Oryzias latipes: one gene and its partners. The protein of the gene in region 1 purifies or fractionates together with the protein of each later gene. This does not show direct contact. Links are inferred from orthologs where the notes say so. Each region holds a gene or a part of one and is shown in the gene's direction. Other genes may lie near its edges.

What was found.
Region 2: the proteins of rnf111 (region 1) and mothers against decapentaplegic homolog 3 purify together in Homo sapiens (affinity purification with western blotting; 5 studies listed by BioGRID). This does not show direct contact. The link is inferred for Oryzias latipes from reciprocal best matches to the Homo sapiens genes RNF111 and SMAD3.
Region 3: the proteins of rnf111 (region 1) and smad7 purify together in Homo sapiens (affinity purification with western blotting; 3 studies listed by BioGRID). This does not show direct contact. The link is inferred for Oryzias latipes from reciprocal best matches to the Homo sapiens genes RNF111 and SMAD7.
Region 4: the proteins of rnf111 (region 1) and ski purify together in Homo sapiens (affinity purification with western blotting, with the first as the bait; 3 studies listed by BioGRID). This does not show direct contact. The link is inferred for Oryzias latipes from reciprocal best matches to the Homo sapiens genes RNF111 and SKI.
Region 5: the proteins of rnf111 (region 1) and skil purify together in Homo sapiens (affinity purification with western blotting; 3 studies listed by BioGRID). This does not show direct contact. The link is inferred for Oryzias latipes from reciprocal best matches to the Homo sapiens genes RNF111 and SKIL.

What each region holds. Positions count from the first base shown.
Region 1 is NC_019861.2:21,227,941-21,232,221, reverse strand, and holds the start of rnf111 (E3 ubiquitin-protein ligase Arkadia), read left to right. Parts: upstream 1-1,419; 5' UTR 1,420-1,527; intron 1,528-4,281. UniProt on the Homo sapiens protein: E3 ubiquitin-protein ligase. Required for mesoderm patterning during embryonic development. Acts as an enhancer of the transcriptional responses of the SMAD2/SMAD3 effectors, which are activated downstream of BMP.
Region 2 is NC_019861.2:12,649,773-12,653,993, reverse strand, and holds the start of mothers against decapentaplegic homolog 3, read left to right. Parts: upstream 1-1,324; 5' UTR 1,325-1,838; coding exon 1,839-2,041; intron 2,042-4,221. UniProt on the Homo sapiens protein: Receptor-regulated SMAD (R-SMAD) that is an intracellular signal transducer and transcriptional modulator activated by TGF-beta (transforming growth factor) and activin type 1 receptor kinases.
Region 3 is NC_019870.2:9,759,874-9,764,345, reverse strand, and holds the start of smad7 (mothers against decapentaplegic homolog 7), read left to right. Parts: upstream 1-1,652; 5' UTR 1,653-2,604; coding exon 2,605-3,070; intron 3,071-3,744; coding exon 3,745-3,798; intron 3,799-4,472. UniProt on the Homo sapiens protein: Antagonist of signaling by TGF-beta (transforming growth factor) type 1 receptor superfamily members; has been shown to inhibit TGF-beta (Transforming growth factor) and activin signaling by associating with their receptors thus preventing SMAD2 access.
Region 4 is NC_019865.2:32,981,626-32,985,819, forward strand, and holds the start of ski (ski oncogene), read left to right. Parts: upstream 1-1,295; 5' UTR 1,296-1,734; coding exon 1,735-2,643; intron 2,644-4,194. UniProt on the Homo sapiens protein: May play a role in terminal differentiation of skeletal muscle cells but not in the determination of cells to the myogenic lineage. Functions as a repressor of TGF-beta signaling.
Region 5 is NC_019875.2:30,153,018-30,156,707, reverse strand, and holds part of skil (ski-like protein), read left to right. Parts: intron 1-2,002; coding exon 2,003-2,095; intron 2,096-2,255; coding exon 2,256-2,344; intron 2,345-2,984; coding exon 2,985-3,121; intron 3,122-3,690. UniProt on the Homo sapiens protein: May have regulatory role in cell division or differentiation in response to extracellular signals.

The sequences.
Region 1 (4,281 bases):
GGGGCCTGGAGCTTTTCTGATCTTCTGCTTCTGGAACTGTTGGCGCACATCTCGTTCACAGATCCTCCGTGCAGATGAGGGGCAGGTGTGGGGGAGGTTGGGATTGCAGGTCGATCCTGTGTGATGGAAATGATGGCTGAGGGGGACGGTTAAATTCTTTCAAACCTTTAGTAGAAGTCGTTAAGCTCCTCAGCAAGGTGGTAACTGTCTGAGGGGCGGGGGGATGGTCTCCGGTAGTTGGTGATGGTCAGCAGGCCTTTCCAAACTGCAGTAGAGTCGTTGGCAGAAAACTAGTATGTCAACTTTGCAGTGTAGGTCCTCTTTGTGGCCTTGATCTCCTTTGTCAGCTTATTCTTGGCTTCCTTGTACCGGTCCCAATCACCACTCCTGTAGGCCTCTTCTTTGTCCTGACGTAGTTGCCTCAGCTTAGCAGTGAACCATGGTTTGTTGATGTTGAATGTGCTCCATTCACTATAACAATTACAACTGACAGACTGCACTGATTAAGTAGAAGCAGCATAGGAAATGAAAAGACTAAAAAAAAAAAGCAAAATTGTGATACAGAATATACAGGATAACGGAAGACTTGATTCCACACTGACATGGGATCCATTATTGTTAAGGCACCTTCACAAAAAACCCTTTAGAGACATAAAAAGTAATTTTTTTTTTTTATGGAAGTTAGGATTTACTTAAGGAATTGCCCTTAGATTATAAAATATTTACATGTCGTCATAGTTACAAATGTGTTCTACGGTTTTGTTTTTCCCAAATTTATCAAATTTGATCATAAGTCTGTCAACCGCATATTTATTAATATGTTGTGTACAAGAGATGTTTATGATAAATTTTAATGATAAAAGAAACGTTCTCTGAGAAAGAATTCCCATGAAAACATATAATTTATTTATCTTGCAAGCTGACTCTGATTTCCAATTGACAAACAGTATTAACTGTTGTTGGTAGGAAAGATATTTGGCATAAAATTAAAAATCTAATTTTCTCCAGGTAAACATTCCATAATATGACATTATCTTAAAATCTGATAATTTCATTTAGTTTGTAATAAACCATCAATCCAAATAAATTAGGGAGTTGTGTTATTTTTTGTTGTTGTTTATTTCAAATTGATCCACTAGAGGGTGCTGTGGTATTGTACATGGACGACGTCCATTGAAATCAATGATACGTATAAAGACTTCAGTTATTTTATTTTAAGAAATATAAGATTTTTTTTCTCTTGGAAAAAAAAATAATAAACAAAAATTCTCTGAATGCAAATATTAGCTATCGTATCGGTGTATGTACCGTAACCATTCGGGACTGTTTTAAAATAGAGAAAGAAAGGAGACGAACTGTCGCAAAGCGTCGTAAAAATTCTGCTCGCAGGTTGGGATCTCTGACGCCCCCGTGCGGCTGTGCGGGAAACGCAGAGGCTTTAGCCGTAGCCTTCCAGCAGACAACCTGCTGGGTAAACAACAGTGAATGTCTCGCAAGGCTGGAATGGAACTTCGTCGAGGGCAAACAGTGAGCCACTTCTATTTTCTAAGACAAAAACATGATAGAGAGGTTATAGCATATTTTTGAGGTTGTCAGAAGCTTTTAATAGATCAGAATTACTCAATATAGTCGAATATTTGACCAGTGGAGTGCAGCTAGCCTTAGCTTAGCTCGCCGCTACCCAGGCCCCGTTGCCTGATTTTGTTTCTCGGCTCTGGTTGGGACTGTTGTCAGTTTCACAATCCCAGCCACTGCCTTCCTCTGGCTGCGATTTCTTTGTTGGCGCATCGTAATGCAGGAAGAGTCAACATATTTACAAACAAATCTGCTCTTAACGTTAGCCACAGCTTTCCTTTGGGATTTTACATCTTTAAATGAGAGACAGAGAAAAAAAGATGATGACATATTTTTAAAACAAGGTCTTAGACTATAGTACGTGGTGTCTTTGTTGTCTTCTGTCTGAAATATTCTTCATGTTCTTCATTTGGACATACACCCGATATATCGAATAATTTAATATTAATGAATAACTATGCTTATATGTATCCTAGTTATTTTGATATAACATCACTTTGGCCTCAGTCACTTTAGCAACGTTTGTGGGACACAGACATACATACGGACAGCTGGCTTATTAGAATTGTTTAGCGTTGTAGAAACTATGCAAAGCCTTTGCTTTCAGCTCGATGTCAGTCCGGTTCCATTGGCGTTTTGCTCGCCTCATCAGAGGACTTGCACTTGGTCATTTTATTTTGCTGCACAGACAGAAGCGGTCGGACGGCAGAGCTCAGCTCAGGAGCTGCTGTACTTGTGCCACTTCAGTGACACCAAAATGTTACGTTGGCAAGGCCGACTTGATGTGACAGTAGCATGTCCAACTTGTTCAAAGTTATCCGCTCGTATTTGCGCATAAGGCAAATATAAAAACACCCGGTTATTCTGCATCGATGTTTAGTTTTCCCCTTGAGGGTTCCTCTCTGAGGCCCTCGGCTCCATGCCTGTCATTGCGCAGCTTTTTCTCTGGCATTTCGCATTTCTCTCCTACAACTTTGCTTTTAAGAGAGCTGTGTGTGATATGCTTCATGATTTAATTCACTTAACTTGCCATTTTTACAGCTTTGAGGGGGGGGGGGGGGTCTCATCTTTAGGTGAAGTGAATGTATTTACTAACTAAATGAACTGAGAAAACATCCACTTAATGTGCAAGTCCAACATATCAATGCGGACCAGAAACGTCTGACAAATGAGATTTGAGATCCTCTTGTAGTACTGAGGTTGTGCCAATTAAAAATGCTAACTTGTACTATTTTAAAGCTGGAACCTATATTTAAAGTCCCACTCCAATCATCTTTTGATCTATTTTCAAAGAGCCTATATTATAATTATGCTGTTTTTAGGCAAAATCCTATAACCTGTGTCATTTTCTAGGACATAGTTTCTGCAGAGCAGCAACAATTCATCAATAATTCACCTCTGAATAGTGGCCTGGATTGTCAGCGCTCCGTAAGTCTCCCCCCATACCCTCTCTGGCTAGCTTACGGCCCCTCACACCCCCAACATAACATTACTAGTGCAACAAAAATGGTGAACAATATTGGAGCTATCCAGTCGTACCGTTTTGAGCCGGATGTCGGCTCAGACGAAGAAAACAAAGACGTTCACGAATCAAATCGTCCACAGTGGGATGCATGAAGCTACAGTCACACCGACTGCGTCAACTCACGTTCAGACAGCCACTTTCGAGGAAAAGTCTATGTAAAAGCCTGTAAACAGCTGAACAATCCCTCCCCCCTGTGCGTTCCAAATAGGAAGTACCCGCTGGTCCCAAAAAGCCAAAATCCCATAAATTTATTTTAAGAAATAAACAGCTATTACTCATTCAGAATGTTTGAATGGCTATTCTTGCTCTTGCAGTCTGGTTCCAACACGGCGGCGGACACATTAAGGGAAAAATGGCAATTGAATTGACTTCATTGGTTGGAACCAGAATCAAAGCATTTTCTATGGGTGATGTCACACGCCATTCGTCCAGTTATAATATACCGTCAATGGGCTCCCGGAACGCACGCTGAAAGTTCATTCATCTGAACCTTCCACTGCTTGAACATCATACAGCTAAACTTTGACCAACCAGAGACTCGGATTTGGTGGTGATGTGTGGGGAGCGTCATTTTCAAAACACGATGTGCCAAGCATTCTAAACGTGATCATGGAGGAGAAATCAATAATTGTGGTTTATGCCCAGCCGGAATTACATGATACTCAGATGATGCTTGTCTGATGTGAATACCATGGACTGAACGTGATTTCATGAAAACGCGTATTGCGTATTTTGGAAGACATACCTGCCGTGAATGTAGCATCAGAATAAGGTGGAGCATGGAGCTTGTGGCTTGTCGTAGGTTCTGTGTCATAGCTACAAGCTTTTTCCAACATCATTTTTTTTGTCTGGTCCTGATTCACAACAGTTTGACTAAAGAAATACTCAGAAATGCAATTCTGCACTTCCTTTTCTTTATATATGTTCTCCATCATGAGAAAAATGGCAGAACAACACATTATCACCAAAAACACCATTTTCATCAGAGCAGGTCTTTAAATAATTTTCTATTAGGACCTGAAAATACTGTGGGTATTGCTTTAGTCATTTTTTCCCCCATTTCCTTTTATTGAACACTGTCAGTTTTCGTGTAGAAACATTGGTTAGCAGTATAACAATAAACTGGTAGAAGTTTCATTGAGTAAAGTTAAAATGACAGGGTAGTACAGAGCCAGCTAGTG
Region 2 (4,221 bases), about 8.6 Mb from region 1:
TGAATCCACTGTGTTCTAATGATTAAAACTTGAATGGATTATCAAAACAATAATTTAAATGCATTTTTTTTTCAAAGAAAACATTTGTTTAAACACAATGCATTGTGGTCTTTATTTGTCAATCTAGTGAGCATTAATGCACAGCTTTTTTGCAATCTTCTGGAAGATTTTTAGGGTACTGATTTTGGAAAAGTAGGTTCAGACAGCTCAATAAAATGACAAATATATAGCGCACTAAGAGGTGACGAATTTCTGACACAACCACGATTCAATTTACGACCCAATCACAGCGCACCAGTTGGGTTTTGCCAGGATCCACCCGGAGCTAAAGTTCTACTCTTTTAATGTATTTTTCTTTAAATACCATCGCCAACCTCCACTTCTATTTTCCATTTGTGGAACTTTTTTCGCTCATACCTAAATCATGACTCTTTTGTGAATGATGCCTCTGAAGGAAACAGGAGGAAAATAAAAACACAAGACACCAGATTCTTTGACCAAGACGTGCAAATTTTACAACCCTGCAAGGACATAAGACTCCCAGATTTGGAAGGTGTACTTGACAACAGTAAACGCTTGCTTTTGAAGCCCAAAGAACAAAAGCAACATCACACCCTGAACCATTTTCACATTCTGTGGTGGGCTCCACATCAGTGCACAGCCAATCTGGCAGTTGACTCTTTGCTTTGTGCACAAACCTGCGTGTCATATAGGACTTGTAGATGCCTTTTCGAGATTGAAAGATGCATCTGACTGTGAACCAGTTTTGGGGAAGGGGGGGAAGAGCAAAGCCACAACTTAAATAACACCCTTCCTGAGTACCAGTTTGTAAATCAAGCAAGTTAGAACAGGTTTGTAGATAGTGAGCCGGTGTGCAGTGGCTCTTATCACCTTAATGTAGCAGCTCTTTCAAGTAAAGACAAAAAAAAGCATAAAGTATGAATTAAATAAACACACAAACAGACACATTTTCAAGTAACTGTTTTCATGGAAACCTATTTTAATTGAAATCGAAGTTGATGATAACTTGAAGTACAAAAACATCACGAAAATATGGTACAAATACATTTTGACACAACTTTTAAACATCTTACTCTACAAGCGAACATTTCTGTTACACAAAACTATTTCAAGAATTGTAAGATTAGCCACGTGCAATAAGCTGTGTTTCATAACTGAATCGAAGGAGCAGTGCGTCTGTTTGAATGTGACAGCTTATTCTGGCACATGCGATGCATCAGCAGGCCTAGATTGTGTCATATCAGCACAAGCCCTTTGGCCAGCTGCTCGGGCCGGACTGTCAGAGGTCTGCTGTGCAGTCTGCAGCTTGAATAGAGTGCCAGCAGCAGCTCCGGCATTTGCATTTGATGCAGACTTTCAGCAGACTTCAATCGGCGAGCCACAGCACCGCGGATGAACTTAAACTTTACCAAACTTTATGGTTCAACGGTTGAACTATCGAGGAAAACGTAACACAGTGCGGTTACTGTATATTGTGTATCCAAATAGGAAAAACAGTTAGACACTGATATTGAAAGAAAATTAGTTGCTCTGAATTTAAAAAGTTGAGACGGAACTAGGTTTTGTGGCGGATTAGTACGGAACAATAAACTACCGGTGCGCAGTGCGGCGCTTAGCTCGAGTCAGGGCGACGAGTGCGCTTCAAGTGTTTGACCCAGAGATGCTCGTGCGCGGATTTTAATGAGCAATATTTCATATTTAGTGTTATAACGCGCGCAGCACCGTTATTTGGAGCGTCGTGGACAAAGTTGTTTTTGTTTATTTGTCCAAACCAGCGGATTCCTCGACACTGGACGGACTACTTAACTGAACTCAAGATGTCAATTTTGCCTTTCACTCCCCCCATCGTCAAAAGACTTTTGGGCTGGAAGAAGGGAGAACAGAACGGCCAGGAGGAGAAGTGGTGTGAAAAAGCGGTAAAAAGTCTGGTGAAGAAGCTGAAGAAGACGGGGCAGTTGGATGAACTCGAGAAAGCTATCACCACACAGAGCATCAACACAAAATGCATCACTATACCAAGGTATGGCGACTGTTAACGTTGACCGTGAATGCAGCATTTCTAGCTAGATAAATCCCAACTTCTGCTGTTACTCAGTTATTACAGAAAACTGCAACCCGCCCTCCACAGTCTGAGCTGTCGTGTTGTTGTCTGGCATCACTTTTTGACAGAAAGTTTCTAGTTGCTTCCCTGCATCATTATGTCAAACTTTGGTTTCCTGTGCGTTTTATTTCTGCATATTTTGGCCGCTGATGAACCGAGCTAACGGTGTTTTCTGAGCAAAGCTAGCAAATCATTTCCCCAAACGTCGACTTATATCATCATCATCATAGCACTTTCTAGCTTTTAGTTGTTGCTGTGAACCCACGTCTGAGGCGGTGCAGCGAATAGCCAACAACAACACACCGCATGCGATGTGAAAGCAGCAGCAATGTAGTCCAAGTTATATAACTTGGCCTTAATCTAGGGCGCTTTCTAGCGCTGCGAGTGCGTAGGCGAGTGAGGCTCTTTTCTGTCAGTGCTCCTGCGCGGCTATTTGTCTATCAGCACCTCGTTCGGAACACTGACGGCTGACATCCAACCGCTGCGGTATGTTTCAGAAGCTCTGCTCTGTCACGCAGTCAGAGGCTGCCACTGCCAGGAGTTATTCCCTCCACACAGCTGCACATGCTCAGAAAGACCTTCCCAAAATGTTGGCACGTGGGGTCATTAGGTTGAACGGACAGAGCTTTATTTATACTTTGTATTTAGAATATTGACCAATTCAATTTAGGGTGACACCATCAAAGCTGTCAAACTACATTTGAGACACATATGTTTGTCAAACAACAACATGGAAATATGAACTCCACTAAAGCAAATGTGTGATGTTTAGCTATATAAATGTAGAAGATATAAGAGCGCAAAACGAAATATAAAAATAAAATGTTCTGTGTGCTGGCTCATTCATCTGCTTAGTGTTTGCTAAATGGCTAAAAAAAAGCTGAATTGATTTTTCAAAAATTCATCTGAAGCCATCTCTATTGGTGGGCTTTTCTAAAAAATAAAAAAAATAAAAGGTTTCATAAAATACCCACTCCAATAAAAAAAAAGTACTTTTAACATGTTCTTGTGAGATATTTCTCATGATGGACAACATATATTAAGAAAATTAAGCTTAAAATGGCATTTCTGATAATTTCTTTGGTCTAATTGTTGTGAATCAGCCTTGAAAAAGAAGGCAGTACAGTACAGACGGCGAGCTAGGAGCTCCCTGCTCCGCTCCATTCTGATGCATCCACTTGTAGACGACTAGATCCATGTACGTCTTTGTTTTCCCCGTCCAAGCAGGCATTTGGCTCAAAACTGTATTCGGCTGGATAGCTCCAAAACTGTTTGCCATTTTTGCTGGCCTGGTAATGTTAGGTTGGAGGTGTGGCGGGCTGTAAACTAATGGGAGAGAGTGTAAACAGATGGATGATGGGAAGTGGGGTGGAGGGGAATTTCTAATGAACCACTGCTGCTCTTCAGAAAGTACTGCATGTCCTAAAAATGACACAGATTTTTATATTTTGGCTAAAAATGTCCTAATCATAATTAAAAGACCACTGGGAACGCTTTTACTATAGATCAAAAAGTGATTGTAGAGAGACTTCAAGTGTTAGTAAGTAGTAGGGATGCCACAAATCTTGATTGAAAACACACTGTAAGTTGCACAGAATTGAATAAAATTGTTTGAAATAAATGAAATAAATGAAATAAATGTCAGCCTCTGTGACGCCAAAAACATGACCAGAAACACCAGGTGGGCACACGGGGCGATCACGTTCCATCCACAGACGTTCATTTCTCCCCACCTGTCATCAGCAAGAGTTTCAAAATCACAGGTTCATTTTTGCATTTTCATTTTGCCATAGCAAACTTTTTTTCACTACGGCATGCACTTAAATCGCCCTTTCATGACGCAGAAAAGTGGCATTATTTATAGGGTATAGGTGGGCGGGGTCACAATAACAGCTCTGCGTGATTGGAGCCCTTCCTTATGGGGAAAAAAGATCATTGTGAGGGGAGAGGATCTCTCAAATCCGAAAAAAGTGATTTTTTTTTAATCCGAAAAATACAAATGGATGACAGATCAAGTTCTTTTTCATTGTCACACCCCATCGTGCCACTGTCTTTCCCTCCGCGTGCCCTAGGTTGCCGACCCCTGTTCTATAGAATTA
Region 3 (4,472 bases), on another chromosome or scaffold:
ACCATCTTTAATCTTAATTTCATTTATAAATGCCCTCCATTATGAGAAAAAAATGCCACAAGAACATGATAAAAAATACAATGGAATGGGTCTTTAAATGAGCAGCTAAATGTTCTGCGTCTGCAGACTTTGTCTTGAAGGGTAAATAAAAACACGGGTCTCAGCTCAGAGCACAGTTTTTATTGAAAACAGCCCCGCTCCACAGCCTGCAGACAGACTCTTCAGGCAGCCCGAGATGGCAAACGGTTAGATAAAAGTGTCTACTTCCTGGAGTCTGGAGACTGGTCTCATGCAAACAAAGGGAAGGGCATGCAGATTGGTGGATAGGGGAGGGGACAGCGCACGAGAGCAGCAGCAGGCACCTCCACAGAGCCCCCCTGACAGACCCCCTTTCCCCCACCCCACCCCTGACTGATTGCTTCCAGACTCCTCCAGGAACGCGCCGCAGTCCCTCTGCTCGGTTTGGGGCTGCAGTGGCGCGCTCCTCCTCGGCGCCAGTTGGGGATCCGGGGGAACAATACGGGGGGGATAAACGACTGATACCCCCCCCCCCCCCCACACACACACATACACACACACACCCCACCTCCTCCCCCATCTTTCTCCATCTCCTCCACGCATGCACACACACCCCTCCTCAACCCCACACATCTCTGCCACCATCATTATCTGCCGCCCACCCCCATGCCCTGCAGCAACTCTGTCATATTAACATACTGCTGACTGCATCTCCTCCCCGGGACTACTGTCTGTCGAGGGAAGTCTGCAGACCAGAAACGGTTCATTTCTGTTTAAAAGAACAATTTCTCCTAAAACGTGTTAAATTTATTGGGTTTGAAGTGAGACATCACAGTGAGTGTTCCCCATCAAGCTGTATTTGTACATTTTTGGCACCAACATTGAGCTAAATTCCAGACATATATAAGTCTGTTATAATTAATATGGATTCCATGAGGGCAATGACACAGAAGGAAGGCTGGCACATGTTAAAAAGACAAGAAAAGACAAATTTGATCCTCAGCTGATGGATTGATCTGCTGGATAAATAAAGATGGGTGGGAACTCTTTGTGTGTGTAGTACCGAACATGTCCGATGGGGGGCAGCAACGAGCTCCCCCGAAGGAGTCAGCACTGTGGCTCACTTCCTAAATTCAACTCCAGCCATAAACTCTCCAAAACAATAAAACTGCCCTGTGTGATCACCATGGCAACAGTGGCGAAAAGCTATGAAGATATATTAAACTGATTCATAGCTTTAACGATGAAACACGTATTTACTGCTTATTCAGTACAAGCGTGAAATTAATGATTGAATATATATATATATATATATATATATATATATATATATATATATATATATATATATATATATATATATATATATATATATATATATATATAAACATTATTTTAGGACTGAAAGCAAACCAAAAAATCTGCAGATTTACTAAATAATTTAACTGAGAAATTTTTTTAATGTTGTTCTTTTTTCTGCAAATATTAAACTTTTGTGGCGTAAACTTTCTCATTTGTGTTTTCTAAGTGCGCGCGCGCGCTTGTGTGTGTGTGTGCACCGTGGGCTCTACTTGATCTGTTGTTTGCGCAACACAATCACATTTCTTTTAAGCGACAGGGTGTCTAGACACACACGTGACCGGGCGCGTCAATGCGCACTGGAGACTGGAGACGGAGCAAGGGCACCCAAACCATCCGCCTCATTTACAGACAGAGAGCCCTTTAGCCCGGACCAGATCAGCTGTCTGCTCGCTTTCCTCCACGCTCAGCCACGGAAACTCCGTGAGAGATACGATTTTGGATTATTTTATCTGGAGGGATTGCTAAAAGCAGGCTCGCTGCGTGGACGCAAAAAAGAAAAAGAAAAACGGAGGGTCTTGCTGTGGCTTTACAAACGCGACTCAACTCCGGTGGGAGACCTGGATTTTTTTCTCCTTGGCTCACTATTTTACCAGAAGACCTCATCCACTACATACTAAAATATACATTTAAAGGTGGGGAGCCCCAGTTCGTGCGCTCGGATGAAGGATTTTGTGGATTATGCTACTCAAGACGCGGCGGAGAGCTTCGCTTTTTCATGGGATGATTGCGCCAGCGTTGAGGCTTAATTAGGCCTTAGGTTTTTCTTATAAGTACCAGTTAGTTGTGACTTGAATAAACATTTCTGACAGCGTTTTTCCCCCCGCTGTAAACCGTCACGGCGTTTTTTTAAAGGGGTCAGTTCACAGCGCCGGATTGCACAAAACTGTAACGCATTCGGGCTTCACGCAGCTCCGCTGCTGCAGGTTTCCTGCTCCGGTTTGGTGTTTCTAAGCTCATAGATGTGATCTTTTTTTTTTTTTGTATTCTGATCGTGGAAACGTTGGCTGTCCCGCCAACCTCGAGCGCTTTCTGGTGACCTTTCTGCAGGAAAAACAGCTTCAGAGACTGGCGCATGCTATAGATTTCCTCTGCTTCTCCAGCTCCCAGTTTTTCCACCGTTTTCTCTCAGGCTGCTTGTCATTGCCTGGACTCGGATCCCGGAATCTTCATGATTTGCGGACACCATGCTCGTTTTTTAGCCGGGAAACCCTCTTTTCGTCCCGCATGTTTAGGACCAAACGATCGGGGCTCGTCCGGCGACTCTGGAGGAGCCGTGCGCCCGTGGAGGGCGACGGGGAGACGGATAGAGGGACGCATGGCTCCGGGGGCTGCTGCATGGGCAAAGCGACAAAAGTGGCCAAGTCCAACGCGGGGTCGGAGGCCGAATTGAAGGCGTTGACCCACTCGGTACTGAAAAAGATCAAAGAAAAACAATTAGAGGTGCTTTTGCAGGCGGTGGAGTCCAAGGGGGGCGTCCGGAGCCCCTGCCTTCTCCTGCCCAGCAAAGTGGACGCCAAAGTGGGTCAACAGTCTTACTCCCTCCCCATGCTGCTCTACAAAGTGTTCAGGTGGCCGGACCTCAGGCATTCCTCGGAGCTGAAGAGGCTGTCGTGCTGTGAATCTTACGGGAAAGCCAACCCCGAGCTCGTTTGCTGCAACCCTCACCACATGAGCAGGCTCTGTGAACTCGGTGAGCTTCAATATTTTCACTAAAAAAAACTCCAAAAAAATGAGGTCCTAGGTGGAGAGAAGGCTGAAAAAGACTGTGCCAATTAACCTAATTCTAATGACAACACCTCTCTGGCACAGTGGTCTTCAGGTTCCATTGATCTGAAGCTGTGCCAGATCCTTTTAGCAGGTTTGGTGGTCGAGTTTGAATAGAAACCTACTTTAATTAATTGTTCCATTTGATTTTTTTTTTCCAAAACTCAAATCCTCCTCAGCTATACGCATTGTCGCGGTTTCAGATTTCCAAACACCCCTGTTAAGAATTTCAACATTTCATAATTGGCATCCAAAGTACAGAAAGACTCTCCAGTCTTGAAATGTGTGTGTTTATGTGTGTGTGTGCTTGCTTGGCGTCCCGGGCCAAAAGAGGCCCGTATCTCAGTTTGTCCTAGACGCTGATAGTGGCCCTTCTGGCGCCAGGCGGCCCCCTGTTTATCTGCCTGCCAATGAAAGGCAATAGCCGCCCGGCCAGCCTCACTGCCTGCTTCTCCAGGCGGAGCTGACAGGCACAAATCAGCCCTCCCCTGAAGAATGACAACTCTTATCAGAAAGTTCAGATCTCTCCTTTGTGTTTTTTTTCTTCCTCTTCTTTTCTCATGCAGTTTTTTTTCTTTCCCCCCCTCCTCCTCCACACAGAGTCTCCTCCTCCTCCTTATTCGCGATATCCCATGGACTATTTGAAACCACCAGGTGAGCTTGATGCATCATTTCACATGGATATTTCCTAAGTCATTGCTTTTTGTTTGTTTGTTTGTGCAATAATATGCATGTTTGAAGTGATGTCATGAGCTGCACTTCACGTTGGTGTCCTCTGCAGGAAATGGTGTTGTGATTTATGGGGAGTTGTGTGTGTGTGGGGGGGGGGCAGAGTGACACGCCTGGCTGGCTGGCCAATTCTAATGTGGCTAGCAGCCAGGGCAAGGCAATACGAAGTTGAGATACCAGCTATGGACTGACTGGCATGTCACCAGGGCTTGTGTGCATGTCTGAGTTGGGGGTGGGGTTGGGGGGGTGGTCTGTCCATCTATCTATTGTGAACCACAGTGCTGAGAGAGACAGACAACAGAGTCTGGAGCCAGTCAGCCTTTATCAGATGGAATGATCAGTAGATTAAGAGTGGGGTTTGCGGTGTGTGTTTGGGAGGGAGGGGGGTCTTTTCTCCACTCAAAGTGATTGCCCCCCCCCTCCACCACCACCACCACCCAACACTTGTTTTCTGACTTGACCCGGGCCCCCGTGTGGCAGCAGGCCACAGCATCGTCATGGGTTACATCCGCTTTGAAGACCAAACCCTCGTCTTTAATTATCTCTTATTTCTGATCATCTCAGCCTCCATGGGCGCAGAAACAGCCCGGAGTTAAACA
Region 4 (4,194 bases), on another chromosome or scaffold:
TCAGAGCACTGTCTAGTGGGTCTAGATGACCCAACTCCCTAGCCCAAGTGGCTAGGATAGCACAAGGGATACACTGACCAATCAGATGCCTCAGTAAAAGTATGCAGTGCCCGCTGGCCCCCACCTTGAACATTTGATTGACAAATAGATCTGACAGGCTTTTAGTGGAAGGGTTTGGACTTCAGACAAGCCTACTCCTGATTGGTGACAGCAGTTGCCCTAGAAACATGACAGACCGACTCGGACCAACCACTGTCGTCTGGCTCCAAAAGGCGACGCCTGTTTCACAGAAGAATGCTGACTGAATTGGCTTCATTCTGCTGGAGCCAGAGGAGAGGGTGATGTCCCACTGCTTAGTCCAGTTTTATATCCAGTCCATGAGTGAAGCTCAGAGCCCCCCCCCCCCCCCCTTTCCCTGCATGTGTGTACTTGAATTTGTTACCTTAAGAGGACCTGACCTTACAGAGCCGAAGTTCAAAGTGTTGAAGTCTCGCGGGTTACATTTGAAGGATGAGGGTGAACTGTGTATGAACGGGGGGGGGGGGGGGGGGGGGGGGGCTTCTTGTGTCTGTGTGTGATTGGGTTGCAGCTTAGCTTTGCTTGCTTGCTCCAACTGCTGCTCAGTTTTTACACTAGTCCTGGTTCTCAAAGGTGAGGAGTTCTTGAGGAGTTAGACCTGATCTAAGCGTTTCTTTAGTCAGCTTTAGAACCATTTGATGACCAAGGTGACAGGAACCTCCGGCTTCCTAGACCAGCTTTACTCCACTCCACTCTACTGGTTTGTAGAGTGGTCCAGTGGTCCAGTGTTCACCGCTCAGCGAAGTATCAAACATCAGTGGTTCTTCTCTGGTCCAGGGGGGAGTGGGTGTCCAAATAATCCATTTTCAAGACCAAGAGTCTGAGTTTAGGGGTAAAAAGCCAAAGAACTGATGTAGGGTCCCTGGAACCTGAACATGGGTTTGAGGGTGTGGAGGATGGAAACAACGGCCCCCTGGGGGGCCACGGAGCGGTCCCCACCGCGGTGACTAAGGGCGGGGCAAGCCGTCAGCTCGTGAAGTTTAAATCAGAATAAGGAAATGGACAGAAGTCAACGGGACGTCCTGCGAGCTTCACTGTGAAAGTCCTCACGAGGATATCTGCGCACGCTTCTGTGTGTGCTCCTGCGCGTGCGCGCCTCTTGGGGGAGGGGGGGGGCGTTCGTGCCTGCGGAGTCAGTCGCATTCCTGGCCGGGATTCAATGACTGAGCCAGACACAAACACGGAGGGGGCGGGGGCGCGGGGGCGCGCACGGCGCAGGGAGGGCGCGCGCGCAGCCTGCTCTCAGACCTCACCCCCCGCACTGTCAGACTGAACTGCGGGGGCACACGCAACGGATCGGCGCAGTCCTCGACAGCAGAGGAACCTAAGACGGGATTTGTCCCCCCTCCCTTCAGGTGCGCTCGCGGAAGCAGGCGCGCGGAACTCGGCGGCTCTCCGGAGTTTGCTCTCCGGCCTCAGAGGCGCACAGGCGGCGCGCAGCCCGACGGACGGACGGAGCGGCCGGTCCGGCTGCGCTCTGAGTCCCGGACTTTCCTCTCCTCAGAGCGGGTGTTTGATGACGCGCCTGGTGGGTTCGAGTCACTGCGGGACGCCGTGGATTTTCCAGCTTCAGGAACGGATCCGTTTTCGGGACTCCCGGTCAGCAGCAGCAGCAGCAGCAGCAGCTCCGCGGATCAGTAAAGTTGCAGGGAAAGCATGGAGGCTGTAAGTCGGCAGAGCTTCCAGCCTCATCCGGGACTGCAGCAAACTCTGAAGCAGTTCCACCTCAGCTCCATGATCTCTCTGGGGGGCCCGGCGGCGTTTTCCGCCCGGTGGCAGCATGAGCTCCTCTTCAAGAAGGACGGGAAGGAGCCCGAGCCGGCGCTGCAGCATCTGCCGCCGCCCGTCATGCCGGGCCCGCTCTTCATTCCGTCCGACCGCTCCACGGAGAGGTGCGAGACGGTGCTGGAGGGCGAGACCATCTCGTGCTTCGTGGTGGGCGGCGAGAAGCGCCTGTGCCTGCCGCAGATCCTCAACACGGTGCTGCGGGACTTCAGCCTGCAGCAGATCAACTCCGTGTGCGACGAGCTGCACATCTACTGCTCCCGCTGCACGGCGGACCAGCTGGAGATCCTCAAAGTCATGGGGATCCTGCCGTTCTCCGCGCCGTCCTGCGGCCTCATCACCAAGACGGACGCCGAGCGGCTCTGCAACGCCCTGATCTACGGAGGAGCCTTCCCGCCGCGCGCCAAGAAGGAGCTGGGGGGCGCGGGGGCGCTGGAGCTGCAGCTCACCGACAGGAGCTTCAAAGTCTACCACGAGTGTTTCGGCAAGTGCAAGGGCTTGCTGGTGCCGGAGCTGTACGGCAGCCCGAGCGCGGCGTGCATCCAGTGCTTGGACTGCAGACTCATGTACCCGACGCACAAGTTCGTGGTGCACAGCCACAAGGCGCAGGAGAACAGGACTTGCCACTGGGGCTTCGACTCCGCGAACTGGAGGGCGTACATCCTCCTGAGTCAGGATTACACGGGCAAAGAGGAGAAGGCGCGCCTGGAGCAGATCCTGGACGAGATCAAGGAGAAGTTCGACTTTGCAAACAAGTACAAACGGAAAGCTGCGTCCAGGGTGAGCCGCGCGCGTCTCAACGTCTCCGTTCTACAGAAAACATGACAAAAGTTGTCGTGACAGACCTGCCTCCCCCCTTAGTCAGTGTTTGCTCATCTATCAGGTGGTTAGTAATGCTGCCCCCCTCCCTGGTGGCAATAAAACACTTATTTGCCTCTTGGATTGCCTTAAAACAGCCTTTATTGGTCAGAACAGTAGATGGAAGCTCGTCTGCCAACAAATGGCTCTCGGGAAAGTGTAAACACTAGAGAGTGGGGGTTGTCTTGGGGGTGGGGGGCGATGACGAGGGACATTTCTGCAGGTGTAACTTAGTGTTGGTCAGGGGGGGGGGGCAGCTCTGGACTGATGAGTCTGTGAGGTGGTGAGTTAGCTTAGAGTTGTGGCCGATGTAGGACCCCCCCCCACACACACACACACAACACCCCCATGGGGGAGAAAAAGCCAGCGTGGCCATTTGCATGAACTGTTCCACATCAATGGAGCTGATGAGGCAGGCTTTGGGAGCATTGTGGAGGAAACATAATATGATCCCAACAAAGAGGAGCATTCAGTAAACATGGGGACCCCCCCCCCCCCCCCCCACACACACACACACACTCCAGCTCTGCTTTTTCTTCTCATCTGATTTAAAGCTCGGGGGACATGTGGGGGAGGCAGACCCTCTGCAGCTGAGTGCTGGAGTCCTATCATGCGCAGAGAAAAGTCCTGCAGAGGGGGGGTCCTCCTCTTGGTCAGGAGGTGTGCAGGGGTCTCACTCCTTTTTCTTTAGTTCCACTCAAATCATCTTTTGAATTTTTTTCAGTGGTCTTTCAATTATAATGAGGCAGTTTTTTAGCCCAAATCAAAAATCCTGTGTGGTTTTCTGGGTCGCGGCTGTAGCTGCCTCCGCTGAGACCCCAAAGACGGATCTGCAGGTGGATGCATCAGAATGGAGCAGAGCAGGGGCTCTTTCATCTCAGTAGCTGGAGAGGCGGCTCTGCGTCACGGTGACAGAAGTGAGAGCAGAAGTCTCGCATGCAGACAGACAAAGGAAGTCATATTGTCACACTTCCCTCCTCGCAGACTTTTCTTTCAAAACTCTTAACTGAGCTTCAGAGCTAAGGCTGCCCGCTGCGTCTCCTCTTCGGGGGCCTCAGGGCCGTGGCTGCAGTTCTGGTTTCTGGCTGGTGCACATGTGCCGGCACAGGCGACGAGTGTCTGTTTCTGTGTTAGGATGTTTAGATGAGCACAGCTGCAGATTTCTGCTGCAGACGCCAGACGGGATCAGGTTTCTGCAGGTTAGAGCCGACTGAAGGCGGCCGTCTCTGCTCAGAAGACGGATTGGGATGTAGATGTCAGACAGCGGCTCAGATAGATGCTCATTCATTAGAGCCCATGCTTACATTCCACACCTGCCGCTCCCTCAGCTCCTCCGTCACATGACGGCGTTCCTGACCAGACTTGAATGAAGTGTATGTCTGTGCAGCAAGCTCTGACTTCACTGCTGCAAACTTAGAGGGAAATCAGATTTCCTGGTCCTGCAGGAAGTGATTCCCCTACAGATAAAATGAC
Region 5 (3,690 bases), on another chromosome or scaffold:
ACCTTTTCCTTATCAGACAAAAGCTAAGCTGTAAACATTTGTCGTCTTTTTATGGATTTGGCGTCTCACGTCCTCCAATAAATGACTTTCTGGATTCGTTCTCCCACATCAGTCTGTGTGGGGAGGGCCAGCAGAAACCATGCTGCTCCTCCAGGGGGGGTGTTCATCTGGGGGTCGGCGACAGAACTCTGATGTTAAGGTGGTTCCTGGTCTCTGTAGTTCTGAGCTTCATGAAGGATCTGCTCTGAACCGGATCTCTGCTTGATCTCAGGTTTCTGTGAGGAAAGTGCGTGCACGTCTGTCCGTTACCGTGCACGTATGGAGATACCATCTCTGTTTATAGCACAGCGTCTCTGTGCGTGAGGGGAGTCCACGTGACCACGTAGGGGCTGGACCTCCGTCTGTGTCGGTTTGTGTCAAAGGCTCCTCTGCCTCAGGGGTGTAGCGTCCAGCCGGGGCCTCCTCCTGCTTTCTGAGAGGAGGACGAGTCCTCTGGTCCCAAACTGAAGAAATGACCGCAGACACACACAGACAGAGTCACGGATGTTCCTGCAGCTCCTGCCTCTGCATGAGCGCCTGCTGCAGAAATGTCACGTGCGCCGTGGAAGTGGGTCACTGAAGTTCACATGGCGGCGTGTGTCTGCGGCGCTCGGGGGTGATGCGTGTGAAGCCGACAGACTGCAGGTGATTAAGAACAGCAGAGTTCAGCGCGGAGTGGGATCTGCCTTTGTCAGGAGGTGTGTGTGGGGAGGGGGGCACAAAGAAGTGCTCATCCTTTGGGGGGGGGGTTGTGTTTGTAGTGGGCCGTCCTGGGTCAGAACCTGCACTTAGGTCATGAACTGTAGGGTTCAGACAGAAACCACAACCTCTGAGACATGAACGAATGGTGACACCTAAACTTCCTGTTTCCCGCCGCCCTTCCTGCTCACCTGACAGTGACCCCCCCCCCACGCCACAGCAGTGCATGTGCTCATTATCAACACGCTCTTTGCTCTGCTATAAACGTGTGTGGGTGGTAGTGTTCTGACATTCTTGGTTTACTGTCACATGCACACGCACGTGCACATGCACGAGGACAAACGGGAATCACACAAAGTGTAAAATCCCTGCTGGGGGGGGGTTCCACAGAACTTCCACCGCAGTGTTGTTTTCTCCTTTTGTCCTCCCCCCTCCTCCCTGGCGGCTCTGCAGTGCTGCCTCCTGGATGGAAAAAAGGAAAAACCTCCAACCACAAGTATTTTCAGACGGACGAGCCCCCGCCTGTGCTCCGGCCCACCTGCAGCCGGGGGGGGCGCATGTTCTGACGCACTCGACATGTCTGTGGAGGGGGGGGGGCTCTGCAGATTATCTCTCTATAGATTTTTGTCTCACTGCCGATTGATCAGTTTTATTGTGAAAATCCCTCATTCTGATGGTTTTATTGTGAAAATCCCTCATTCTGATCTGGCAGGCTCGCTCAGAAGGTCACAGGACTTTTCCTGCGTAGTTTTCATGCTCCTTCCTTCTGATGATGAAGACCCTCATGTCTGTCACGGACCTCCTCTGTCTGTTAGGAGGCGTTCGCCATGCCTCCTTTTGACCTTCTGCTCTTCTGGTCTCCGCCTCCTCTGCGCTGAGGTCACCCTTTTTCACGCCTTTTCTGTGTCAGACGCCCCAGTTGGACGTGTAGTCCGTCTCCTTTGTCTAAAGGGTCGTCTCCAGTCTAAAACACGGAGGCGCTTCATCTGCAGCGTTCACCAAACCGCTGATCATCAAACCATCATCGGGTCTGGATCCGTCCAAACCTTTCAGTCCGTTTTGTTTCCCTGCAGCCACGGTTCCGGGGTCACTTCCTGTCTCTGTGGCATTTGTCTGACCTCTGACCTGTTTTGAAAATCGTTTCTGTGAACAGTTTCCGGAATATTTATTTTCAGTAGAATATCAGGAACCATCTTTCTCACTTCCTGTCTCTGCAGCAAATGTCTGACCTTTGACCTATGTCCTGTTTCTCTCCGTACATCAGAAGACGGGGGAGGAAGAGGAGGGCCGCGTGAGGAAGAACTCTGCAGATCTCTGCTCTGTTAATAAGTTGGACGATGCTGAACCTGCCAGAAAGGTCAGTCAAAGCCCCGCCCCCTACGGTCTACATCTGTACCTCTCACCGTCTTTGTGTGTGTGTGTGTGTGTGTGACTTTTTCTCTGTCTTTTGTGTCTTATAAAGTCTTTTTTGTTGCTGTTGTGTCACATTCCCAGTTTGTATGATTTGTGCTCCACAGGGTAAACCGTCTCCCCCCGCTCTGCTCTACAGCCATGTTTTCCCAGACATCAAGGAGGAGCCAGGACCCCCCACCCTGGTCCATCCCAGGTACTGCACCTGACTCGCTCACAAAAGACACTCAGGTTCCCATCATGCCTCTGGCTGCAGACGCCCTGACGTTCAGAATCAGACTCCATTTTTCATGGGGACAACATGATCAGACCTGTGCTGCTGAGGCTTCTGGGTAATGGAGTCTTTGCCATAGAAAACTGTTTATTCGAAGTTTGTTTTTTGGAGGAGCCCCCCCCCCCCCCCCCCATTAATCTGACTGGGATTACAGCCAAGAATTCGGGGTTTATGCTGCTGTGGTTGATGACTGACGTCAGAGTGTGTGTGGGGGGGTCTGGTCACCTGGCAGCCTCTGTGCACAGAGAGGGGGGAGGGGGGCCAGGTCTCTGCTGACATCTGAGAACTGTTCTTTTTTGGGGTGGGGGGCACAGGGAGGGGCAGCAGAGCCACTGAGCTGTCAGGCTTCACCTGGTTCAGTGCTGCAGCCTCCCTTGGGGGGCAGGGAGTCTCAGCGCCCCTCTTCTTGGCGTGCAGCCCACACAAACAGGAAGTGAGGGCCTGTAGTCTCCTCTGGAGGAGCTAAAAGACTGGCTGGAGGTTGAGTGGTGGACCCCCCCACCAAAGCAAACAGAGCAGCTGCTTCATCTTTATGCTGTCATGCGTCTCCTTTTCTCTGCAGTTACTACCTGTACACCTACGATAAGATGGTGGCGCCCAACGTGTCCCTGCGGAGGGAGGCGGAGGTGAACCCCGACATGCTGGGGGCGCTGCTCAGACAGCACTACGGCCACAGAGCCCCGGACGAGCCCCCAGTGGGTGAGTGAGCAGACAGCGGTTCAGAACCAAACACGTCCATGAAATGCTGCTTCTGTTTGACAAACGCCGGAGTTCCAGTTTGAGACCAACGTTTGTTTTTACAAAAGTCTCCATTTGATTTTATTACAGTGAGAAAAAAGGTTTGATTCTAAAACCAACATTTACTCTGAGATTCCAGATCAGCTGGAAGTTTTTCAGCATTTATGTGAACAGAACAAAAGAAAACGTGACGACTTTTCATTTGTATGAAACACACCTGTACAAAAATGATCTCACACACACATTTGATGGTGATAAACGGGCGGTTAGTGACCCCCCCTCCAGTGATGAGTCACGTCTACAGCTGTTGGACCCCCCCTCTGTTTGCTAGACCCCTTCTTTTACTCTTTAAGCCCCACCCTCCTTCATCTCAGCCTCTCTATCACACTTCTGCCCGCCCAGATCTTAGTGAATGTAATCAATGCCTCCATTCTATTATTTCCCATGATGCACCTCTGAGGCCAGCCTCAGCTGTGGGACAGCGCGCGGCGGCGTTCAGCGCTCCCACACCGACGCGGGGAAAGTTGGTG